3 linked regions of the Oryctolagus cuniculus genome follow. The protein of the gene in region 3 interacts with the protein of the main gene of each other region in a biochemical or structural test. Links are inferred from orthologs where the notes say so. Each region holds a gene or a part of one and is shown on either strand. Other genes may lie near its edges. The genes, in order: GTF2A1, E2F1 and TBP.

What was found.
Region 1: the proteins of TBP (region 3) and GTF2A1 form a complex in vitro, tested with the Homo sapiens proteins (7 studies listed by BioGRID and IntAct, with this or other methods). The link is inferred for Oryctolagus cuniculus from reciprocal best matches to the Homo sapiens genes TBP and GTF2A1.
Region 2: the proteins of TBP (region 3) and E2F1 form a complex in vitro, tested with the Homo sapiens proteins (2 studies listed by BioGRID). The link is inferred for Oryctolagus cuniculus from reciprocal best matches to the Homo sapiens genes TBP and E2F1.

What each region holds. Positions count from the first base shown.
Region 1 is NC_091451.1:27,041,210-27,044,856, reverse strand, and holds part of GTF2A1 (transcription initiation factor IIA subunit 1), read left to right. Parts: intron 1-993; coding exon 994-1,198; intron 1,199-2,752; exon of another isoform or gene 2,753-2,896; intron 2,897-3,324; coding exon 3,325-3,389; intron 3,390-3,647. UniProt on the Homo sapiens protein: TFIIA is a component of the transcription machinery of RNA polymerase II and plays an important role in transcriptional activation. TFIIA in a complex with TBP mediates transcriptional activity.
Region 2 is NC_091442.1:24,381,346-24,385,092, reverse strand, and holds the start of E2F1 (transcription factor E2F1), read right to left. Parts: upstream 2,637-3,747; 5' UTR 2,502-2,636; coding exon 2,256-2,501; intron 1-2,255. UniProt on the Homo sapiens protein: Transcription activator that binds DNA cooperatively with DP proteins through the E2 recognition site, 5'-TTTC[CG]CGC-3' found in the promoter region of a number of genes whose products are involved in cell cycle regulation or in DNA replication.
Region 3 is NC_091436.1:37,282-41,028, reverse strand, and holds part of TBP (TATA-box-binding protein), read left to right. Parts: intron 1-239; coding exon 240-407; intron 408-1,908; coding exon 1,909-2,003; intron 2,004-3,256; coding exon 3,257-3,336; 3' UTR 3,337-3,747. UniProt on the Homo sapiens protein: The TFIID basal transcription factor complex plays a major role in the initiation of RNA polymerase II (Pol II)-dependent transcription.

The sequences.
Region 1 (3,647 bases), on a different chromosome or scaffold from region 3:
GGGTCATTGTTGTGGTGTGTTGCTGCCTCCAATGCTGGGGGCCTGTATGAGCTCTTGTTCATGTCATGGATGTTCCATCTCAGATCCCGCTTCAAGCTAAAATGCCTGGGAAAGCAGCAGAGAATGGCCCACGTGCTTGGGCCCCTGCCTCCCACATGGGAGACTTGGATGAAGCTCCTGGTTCCTGGCTTCATCCTGCCCTGGCTGTTGCAGTCACTTAGGGAGTGATCCAGTGTATGGAAAATCCTTCTCTCTGTGTCTCCCTCTTTTTCTGTAACTCTGCCTTTCAAATAAATAAATAAATCTTTTTTTTTTTTTTTTTAAAGGGGGCAAACAACAGAGTTTCTGAGTACTGTGAAGGATTGTGGTGCATTGGTTTAAGCCCCTGCCTGCAATACCAGAATCCCAAATCAGAGCGCTGATTGGAATCCCAGCTGCTCTGCCTCCAATCCAGCTCACTGCTAGTGCACGTGGGAAAGCAGTGAAGATGACCCATGCCACCTATGCGGGAGACCTGGATAGAGTTCCAGGATTCTGGCTTAGGCCTGGTCCAGTCCTGGCCATTACTGCCAGTTGGGTAGTGAATCAGTAGATAGAAGATCTCTGTCTCTGTCACTGTGCCTTTCAAATAAATAAAATTCTTGAAGAGAAGAATTCCATAAAGATAGTTTCATAATGGTTCTGATACTACAAAGGATAATCTTTTTCTGAAACTCTGTGCTATATAATAGCTGATGATTAAAGAGTTGCTATGAAAAGATGGTTGAAGATAAAAACAAAAATTTCTTTAGGTTGCTAAAGTGGCAAAGAGGAAGTTTGATACTTTAAAAAATTGTTTTCATTATCCTTTGCACTTAGATGAGATTTGAGGTTATATTTTTGTGCTATGTAAGTTTTTAAATGGAAGAATTCCATAAATAGCTAGTAAAAATATGTTTGACCATGTATTGAGTTATTTTTTCATTTTTAAACTTTTAATGTTGTTTGCATTAGTTGTGGGAGAATAAACTAATGCAGTCTAGAGCAGTAGATGGATTTCATTCAGAAGAGCAACAACTTTTATTGCAAGTTCAACAGCAACATCAACCCCAGCAGCAACAGCATCACCACCACCACCACCATCAGCAAGCTCAGCCTCAGCAGACAGTACCTCAGCAAGCCCAGACCCAGCAGGTCCTTATTCCTGCATCACAGCAAGGTGAGACTAGATCTGTTTTCCTAACTACTTGGAAATTAAGTTGGTCATTTTAAAAGACTAGAAATACTCTAGGTCACTTGGATCTTGTTTTTAAAAGGTATTTCATAAACCTAAAAAAAAAAGTACTGATTTTGTTTTTCCCTTTTCTATGTATGTTTTTATGTATATAAATTTGTATAAAATGTGAGTCCTATTTGTAGAATAGTGATAGACAAATAATTACCTGATTGAAACCCTAAAATAGTATTCAGATACTTGTACTAATGTTTTTTAGGAAGTACATATAGTGGTGGCTTTCCTAAAATTTAAGTCAGATTTATAATTTTTTTTTAACTAAGATTTCATTGTTTTATATAGTAAAGTAGTTATTTCTTCATGAAACATTTTCCTTCAAAGGGATATTGGTGTTGTTTTTATGTCTTAAATCCTGAGTTTTGAACCATATGTTGGCATTCTGAAAATTCAGTACCATGGTAATTTCTGTGTCTAAATTAACAATTAAATTTCTTTTATGTGAATAGTTGATCTATATATCTTGATGTATATTATTACTCTGTTTAAAGGTATGAACAATGCACAATGCAAAACTATTTGTTTTTCATTTATTTTTAACTGAAAGGCTGAGAGAGAGAAAGGGAGAGAGAGATCCTTCTATCTACTGGTTTATTGTCCAAATGCCTGCAACAGTGTGGGCTGGGACAGCCTGAAACCAGGAGCTTGGAACTCAATCCAGTTCTCTCTTATGGGTGGCGGGTGCCTAAGTACTTGAGTCATCACCTGCTATCTCCTAAGAAAGATGAGGCTTCATTTTGACTCCTTTTAGGAACTCTATGAAATAGTTCTTAGCTCCATTGCTTCATAGCTGAGGCAAATCTGGGCCTTAAAAAGGCTGAGAAGCATGATCCATTATATGTAGCAAATATTTTCTGTCATAACAACTATGTTCAATTAAAAACTTACTAAGTATTCTAATTCAGTGAATCTTGATTGTTATTGGAGAAGAAGGTAAATGAAAAGCTTGTTTTAAGGTAACCATTTAGTTAACCTACATATATATGTGTATGACTTGAAATTGATAGTGAAGGGCAAGCATTGTGGAGCAGCCAGGTTAAACTGCTGCTTTTAATGCCTGCATACCACATCAGAGTACTGGTTGAAGTTCTGACTGACTGCTCTGCTTCTGATCCAGCTTCCAGCTAATGCACCTGAAAAGGCAGGAGATAATGGCCCAAGTACTTAAGTCCCCGCCACCCACTTGAGAAATCTGGATGGAGTTTTAGGTTCATGATTTCAGTCTTGTTCAACCCTGGCTATTGTAGGCATTTGAGGAGTGAACAGTGAATTCACAGTCTCTCTCTGTTTTTTTTTCTCTCTCTCTCTTTCAAATATATACATATATACATACATAATTCTTTTAAAAAAAGTGAAAAAAATGATAGTGATACACAGTGGAAAGGTCTTTTTGGGTTGTTTTGCTGTTTATATAAAGTAAGATTTAATATCTGCTTTAAATCTATCCTTTGTTATCAAATATTTTTAACTCTTAATCTTTTCTGATGACTGTTCCTCCTAATGCTTTCAAGCCTGGCATTAGGATTTTAGGTCATCATAAATTAAAATTTGATTTTCTTCACTCAGAGATTATGTGGATAATGGGATTGTCTGTCTGTTCTCTGAAATTTGCGGAATCAAACATTTAATGCCTTTTACACTTAAGTAACATCACCATTATTTTCAATTTCTACTTTTCGAACAATTAGTAACATCCTAGCAACTGTCAAATTGGGAGAAAAGGATTGTAGATTAAAAAAAGTAGTTATAACTGAATTTTGTTCCTAATGAATTAGTAGCTGTTGTGATAAGTATTTCATTTCCTCATCTTACTGAATTCCTTTGCAACCTTCAAATTTATCACTTAAATACTTAAATATTGATGTTTTCTGTTATGATACAGTTATACTAGAGCTTTAAATGCTGTAAAATGTATAACATTTTGAAGTATCAAGGGGTTGAGGGCATTTAAATGCAGAAAAAGTTTTCAGCATTAAATAACATACTTGTGATTATGAAATAGCCTTAGGGTTCCTTGTTTCCATGTGTGTTTATTTGATTTAATTATTTTGTAGCCACGGCACCTCAAGTTATTGTTCCTGATTCTAAGCTGATACAGCACATGAATGCATCAAACATGGTAAGACTCATAGTGTAGCACTTTGATTGGCTTTGCGTCTTCTAACTCAGATAGGGATCTTGCCTGGGTATGTTGTATATTAACAACTTGAAGTTTATTGAAGACTTGAACAAGACAGATATTTTATTTAGTTTCTTATATATTGTATTTAGCAGCAGATCTAAAGTTTAACTTGGTATTTCAGCATTAAGCTTCATAAAATTACGTAATTTTCTGTTTAAAAAGTACCAAAAGGTGTTTTATGGGAGCTCTTTTATC
Region 2 (3,747 bases), on a different chromosome or scaffold from region 3:
TGCTCGTCTGCCAAATCCTCTCCACACGACCTTCTGTGGAGCCTCGCTCGTGACACGTCTGTACCTCCAAGCCACAGCCCCGGCTGCCCCTGCCCCCACACCTGCTGCTTCCACCTCTGGTGGGCACTGGGCTTCACCAAGTGGCTGCTGAATGAACCCCTGAACCTCCTCACAGGCTGGCCATTTTCTATGATAAACATGTATTAAAGTGGAAAACGTGGACTTTTCAATGGCCATTGACAATGGGGTGTGGCTAGAGGGGCAGAGTCAAGGGGAACAGCTGAACTGTATACAACCTTGTATACAGCAGGTGCTCAGTGAATGGTCACTGGTAAAGAAGCAAAGTCTGTAGTTTATTTCAAGGACAATTCCCAAAAAAATATCAGTACAGCAAGTGGAGGACAAATGCTGGGCCTTTCTGAGCCAGTCCCCTTCCCCACACACCCACACCCAAAAACACCTCCTGGCACTAAGGCCTGGGTGGGCAGAACTCCATAGTGGCCCATGCCAGCACCTCCTGGGCACTTACTCCTGGGCACTTACTAACTCAGCACGCTCGGGCTCCTGACGCCCTGGGGGCAGAGCGGAGGGCGTTTCTCCCTATGCCACGCCTCCCCTCTGAGCCCTGAGCCCACAGCCCTCACCTGGAACTCCGCTCCCCCAGCTCAGCACCCACCGGCTGTTAGGTCTCTTCAGTACTGGGCCTGCTAAGCACTTGTCACCTGCCCAGCTTCCAAGCTGGCCCCTGGGGGACAGGAGACAGGCCAGGTGACCCACCCCTGGGACACCCTTCCCCCCCCCTCCCCGCTCTCAGGAGGAGGGTCCCCAAGACCTTCCAGGGCTTTCTTCACCCTCCATCAGCTTGGTAGATCCACTGCCCCGCCACTCACCAAGCGGAGTGGGGAAGGTCCTAACACCTCGAGGCCTCAGCCTCCCACCTGTGCAGGGAAGGCTGCTGACAGGGTTAAATGAGTTAATTGGGTAAAGTGCTTGGCACAGAGCCTGGCATACAAAACATCCTCAAAACAATGGCGGCCACTATTGTTATTATTATTAGCATCTTGGTGATTCCGGAAGGAAGGCAGCACTGGGCACAGTGCCAATGGGGTTGAGGGGCCCTCGCAGGACGCCTCGGGGACCAGCTGCCACCCACACTTCCATCAGCAGTAGAGCAGCTTCGAACTCCTAGTCCTGGCCCCTCCCACTGCTCCAAGCCCCCTGCTGAGACCCCATCCAGCCCGGCCAGCCCCTGCCTGCCTGCCCGCCCGCCCCACCTTCACCCACACCCTGTGCCCGTCAAACTGGTCCCCACACCCTGTCCCGCGGCCCACAGGTCCGGGCTCCAGACCTCCACTCCCTTCTCCCACCGGAACTCAGCCTCTCTGGGCTCCCCTACAAGAGCCAGTCCCGAGCACCGCGCTGCTCGCTCATCGGGGAGGACTTTCCAAGGGACCTCCCTGGTTGGCGTCCTTTCTCCTGGCAGCCAGCTCCCAGAGGCCCAGCCCACCCAGCCCTTCCACAGAGGCTCGGGGTCTGCCTGCCTGATTAATGAGGCTCCATGGCAACCAGGGTCTGGGAGGGTGGAGGGTGGCAGATGGAGGGGATCAGCAGCTGGCCCGGCCACCCCGCCCCTGCGGAGAAGGCCTCCCAGCCGGGAGCCTGTCCCCAGAGGCCTGCAGGGCCAGACTGCACCTGGCGGTCAAGCACGGGGCCGGAAGGAGGGTCTCCTCCATGCTGCCCCCTCCAAGGGTCAAGCCCCAGGAGTGTCCCCAGCCCGCCTCGCCTCCCTAGGCAGCCTTGCCCACTGCCCCGCCCCTAATTCTGGTCTCAAGCCGGCAGGCCTCAAACCCCAGCCCGACCACCTGCAGCCCTGAGACCAGGGGCGAGTCACTTTCCCTCTCCGGGCTCCCCCAGACGGCCATGGTGACAACTCCGAGCTCACGGCGGGGTTGTGAGTTTTATTTAGCTGGCGAGAAATCTGCCACAGGCTGGCACACAGTAAGCGCCAACTGAATACACGTGGGCTATTATCGCTCAGGCCCACAGCCCTGAGGAGCCAACAGGGACCCGCCCGAGGTCACCACGCACCCCGGGGCGGGGCCCGGAGGCCCAACCCAGGCTCTGGACCGCCCAGCCCGGGCGCCTCAGTCCACCCCTCCCCCGCCCCCGCCGCCTGCGAGCCAAACACCGCACCCGCCCGGGTGCGCGCGGGGCCGTCAGGCAGGCTTTCGGCCCGGCGTCTCCGGAGTCCGTACCGGCGGGCGGCCGAGCGCCGGACGCGGCGCGCTGGGTGTGGGTCGGGGCGCCTGCGGCGTGGCGAAGAGCAGCAGGTCGGGGTCGTGAGAGCCCGCGGCGGGGCCGGCGGGGGCCGGCGGGGCGCTGGCGTCCTGCGCCGCGGAGATGATGACGATCTGCGAGGAGTCCAGCAGCCGCAGCGCGCCGGCCCCGAGCAGGGCCTCCAGCGCCGGCGCGCACGGGCCGCCCGCGGGGGCCACGGCCATGGCGCTCACGGCCCGCGTGGCCCAGGTGGCAGGCGGCGGCGGCGGCGCGGGCCCATGGCGACAGGCCCCGGCGAGGGCTTGATCCCGCTCCGCCCCCGGCCGCCGCTGCCTGCAAAGTCCCGGCCACTTTTACGCGCCAAATCCTTTTTGCCGCGAAAGAGCCACGAGCCGCCGAGAGCCGCCACCATTGGCTGTCCGCGCTGTGACGGAAGCGGCGGCGGCGGCGCCCATTGGCTGCATCGAGCACGGCCGGCGGCGGAGGGCGGGACGGGGCGGCGGCGCGGAGTGGCGCGGCCAATCGCAGGGCGGGGCTCGCGCAGGCTTTGTCGGGGCGGTGCCCAGCGAGCTCGCACTCCCCACCCCCAGCACGGGCGTCCGCGCCGGAGGCGTGCGGACTGGGACCCCGCCCCGCCCTGACACACCCCGTTCTGCTGATTCCTCTTTCCTGAGGCTTAGGCCGCGGGGCCTCGGTCCTGCGCGTTTTCCGGTCAGCACAGCCCTGGTGACCCGCCCCCAGACCCTCAAGCTAGGGCCCCTCCACCCTCAGCCCAGGTCTGCAGACACCGCCGCCGCCTCCTCTGTGCACCCTCCAGAGATGCAGCCCCATCTCCTGTCCTCGGCGGCCCCCACCTAGGCCATTGCCTCAAACTCCTCGCCGAGCCCCAGCCGAGGGGGCTACCAGGAAGTGCGGGGGGCCTCAGTTCTGTTGCCGCGCGGCTGCGGCTTGCGCTGCCTCTGTGGTCCCCTCCTTAGTGGCGGCCCTGGCTGGGGCCGTAAGGGGCGGCGGCGGACAGAGAGGTAGCAGCTGTTTATAGCATGAGGAGGTTTCGGCCATGAGAGACCTCACAAAGGGAAGAGGCGAGGCTGCCGGGCGTGGGAAAACATCTAATCCCGAGGCCCTGAGACACCTCCATCAGCACCTCCCACTGCTCAGCTCGGCCGATTTGGCCTTGTGTCTGCACTGGGGACAGAGATGTGAAAGACGTCCTAACTGTCGAGTTTGCCTGCTGCCTGGTGAGCGTGGCCCACAAGCAAAAAGTAGCTAGGACACAAACAAGAGTCAAATACCACTTCTTCCAGGGAGCCCTCCGGAGTCAGTTACTCACTTCTTCCACTGCCGGCTGCGGCCTCTGTTCCTGCAGTTGCCTCCTCTCCCCGCCTGGGAGCTGCAGTGATTGCTACTCCCAGCTCGGACTGGTCCACGAGCCGGCGCTGGGAGAGGTTCTGAAAGGACAGGGGCCACCAG
Region 3 (3,747 bases):
AAAATCTAGGGCTGTCAGTAATTCAGTGAATTGAAAGAGAGCATTCTGTTTTCTCTGGAGGACATAGGAATACTTGACAATAAATTGTTAATATCTGTTCTTTTATCCTGTTGAAAGGAAGATGACCAGTTTATGTGTTATTCATTTCCTAATTTGGAATTTTTAATATTACTCATCTAAATATTTATGTTAGCTGGATTAGAGTATAAAGAACTTAATTTTTTTTTTCTTTTTTCTAGTGAAGAACAGTCTAGACTAGCAGCAAGAAAATATGCCAGAGTTGTGCAGAAGCTGGGTTTTCCAGCTAAGTTCTTGGACTTCAAGATTCAGAACATGGTGGGGAGCTGTGACGTGAAGTTCCCCATACGGCTGGAAGGCCTGGTGCTCACCCACCAGCAGTTCAGCAGGTGAGCGGGGATGTACTCTGCTTGGGCTGGGACACATTTGTAATCTCCTTAGTGTGTTTCAGGATAAAACACAAGCCAGCTATGTAGGGAGTAAGAGCCGGTGAGGCATGCAGAGTTGTGATGCTGTCTCCCTATCAGCCTCCTCCTGCCACATCGGTAGCCATACCCCAAACTCCTCTGCACTGGAATGAACTTGTTTCCACTTCTGGGTTTTACCATTTTATGGCTCAGCAAATGCTTGAGTTGAATCGACAGCTTCTTGCATTAGTTTTTCCCAGTTTGAATCTTTCCTTTTAGTCAACATTATATCAGCTCTGCTGACAAAATGTGAAGTGGGTGATGGGAACATTCTTTCCATTTATTTGGGAGACTCGAGGCAGGTAGTCCTTCCCACCTTGCAGCTTCTTCTCAGCGTCACGTGGTTCTCTGTGTCCCTCGACTCACCATGCTGTGCTGCAGGCTCATTGACCAGCATCAGCGTTCTAGGAGATGTCCACTTGAGTTCAGATACCCACCCTTGCTGCCCTTCCTCAGAGAGGCCACTCACAGACACAGGGACACCTGGTTTTCAGAACCTCTGAACTAGAAAAATGAGATTATGAAGTTAGAATAGGAGGTAGCAACAGTCCATTCGATCAGACCATGTAACTGGAGTATAGTATCTGGTGTGTCACATAAATTACTTGGCCAGAATTGACAGCTAGAGGATATTCCATTTAAGGAAGTGAGATAAGATTGAAAGCAAAACTGTCTATATCAAAACAACTAGGCAAGTGTGTAAAGGTTCCCAACACATAGACATGATAAGTGAGGAGATGGAAATGCTAATTACCCTGTTTGATCATACACCTTGTGCAGCTGTATCAGATTTTCTTACTGTACTCATAAATATGGACAAATATTCAATTAAAAGTAAATTTAGAAGTAGGCAAATTGTCAATGTTGTATTTTAGAAATAAAAGATTTGGGGCTGGTGTTGTGGTGTGTGTAGTGGGTAAAACTGCTCCATATCGGCGCCAGTTTGAGACTCAGGTGCTCCATTTCTGATCCAGCTCCCTGAGAATGCACCTGGGAAAGCAGTGGAAGATGGCCCAAGTGCTTGGACCCCTGACACACCCATGTGGGAGACCAGGATGAAGCTCCTAGCTTTGGCCTGGCCAAAGATCTCTCATTCTGAACTCTGCCTTTCAAATAAATAAATCAATCTTTAAAAAAGAAATAAATGATTTTACGTAGATTTATCTAAACTCAGGCAGAATCACTCTTTGTAAGAACTGCATTCTACAGAACAAATGCACAGCTCCTCTTCTCAGCAAGAGGAGCTGGTGAAGTGACAGGGCAGCCAGCCACTGGCTGGTCCAGGTGTGGATGCAGCTCCGGCTCGCTTGCTGTAAGTGCTCTCTTCCTGGATGTGTTGTGCAGTGAGTGGGCTTGTTGAGGTATTAAACCCTCAAGCATGGGAAACTTCATTTCTAATCTGTTTTTGCCGTTTTCCTTCTAGTTATGAGCCAGAGTTATTTCCTGGTTTAATCTACAGAATGATCAAACCCAGAATCGTTCTCCTTATTTTTGTTTCTGGGAAAGTTGTATTAACAGGTAAGTTCAAATGGGAATTAGCACCTGAAAGTTTGAATGAATTTAAAGGTGGGCATTTTCTCAGAGCTGAAAGGAATTTCACAGCATTGAATAGTTGGCTACCAACCTTTATCTTCTTTCCCCTACTCTTACTCTATGAGAAAAGTACCTACTGCTGGGAAGAAATCAGAGCAGGGGGATGTGACAAAGCCCTGCTGGGCCTTCAGTCAAAGCATGACCTCCATTTATACTGGGGAGGGGAAATGAGCCTGGCATTGGGTAAGAGCAGGTATCTTCCATGGGTTTGTCAGCAGTGTCATGAGAACAAAGGGAGATTCAGAAGCACTGACTTGAAGGCAGTAGTTGGGACGTTAAGATCCAGTCACTCTCGCTGCTGCCCTGCCAGGTTACTCTGATTGTGTAGCAATGAGCTGTAGAGTGGGAGGCTGGAGTCCCCATAAGCATTGCTGTTGTAATGTAGAAAATCATTTTAAGAAAATACTTTAGAGGGGCTGGAATTGGGATGTAGCTGGTAAAGCCGCTGCCTACAGTGCTAGCGTCCCTTTTGGGTGCGGGTTTGAGTCCTAGCTGCTCCACTTCAGATCCAGCTCTCTGCTATGGCCTGGAAAAGCTGTAGAAAATGGCCCAAGGCTGGCGCCGCGGCTCACTAGGCTAATCCTCTGCCTTGCGGCACCGGCACACCGGGTTCTAGTCCCGGTTGGGGCGCCGGATTCTGTCCCGGTTGCCCCTCTTCCAGGCCAGCTCTCTGCTATGGCCCGGGAGTGCAGTGGAGGATGGCCCAAGTGCTTGGGCCGTGCACCCCATGGGAGACCAGGAGAGGTACCTGGCTCCTGTCTTCGGATCAGCATGGTGCGCCAGCCACAGCGTGCCGGCCGTGGCGGCCATTGGAGGGTGAACCAACGGCAAAGGAAGACCTTTCTCTCTCTCTCTCACTGTCCACCCTGCCTGTAAAAAAAAAAGAAAGAAAAAAAACTATGAAAAAAAGAAAATGGCCCACGCCCTTGGGCCCCTGCACCCACATGGGAGACCTGGAAGAAGCTCCTGGCTCCTGGCTTCGGATTGGCCCAGATCCAGCCATTGCAGCCATCTGAGGAGTGATTGGGGTATGATAAGGGATGCCACCATTAAAGTTTCAATGCCTATAATTGTAAAACTGAGTATGGAGAAAATTGTGCTTGCAGTTTTGTTTTAAGATAATAATTTTACCACCTTAAGATGTTGAGAAATGCGTTTTCACACTCTTGCCTTTGTAGGTGCTAAAGTCAGAGCAGAAATCTATGAAGCATTTGAAAACATCTACCCTATTCTAAAGGGATTCCGGAAGACGACGTAATAGCTGTCATGTACTTCTGCCTCCCCTACCCACATGTTTTTTAAAGAAATCAGTTTGGTACCTTTCAATGGTGGTGTTGAGAAGATGGAGGTTCAGTTGCAGGTCACGGCACCAGGCGATGCTCTTTCGAGTGTGTCCCGCCAGGGGCCCTGGGAGGGCATTGTTTCTGCACTGAGAACACCACGCAGCATTACTGTGAGTTGCTCCTACTGTGCTGCTATCCGGGCAGTGCTGCCCGTTTATTTATATTTAGGTTTTAAACACTGCTGTTGACAAGTTGGTTTAAGAGACAAAACTTTTAAGTGTTAAAGCCACCTGTATAATTGATTGGACTTTTTATTTTGTTTAATTTTTCCCCATAAACCAGTTTTTATATTTCTACCAGGAAAGTAAAAATCTTTTTTAAAAGTG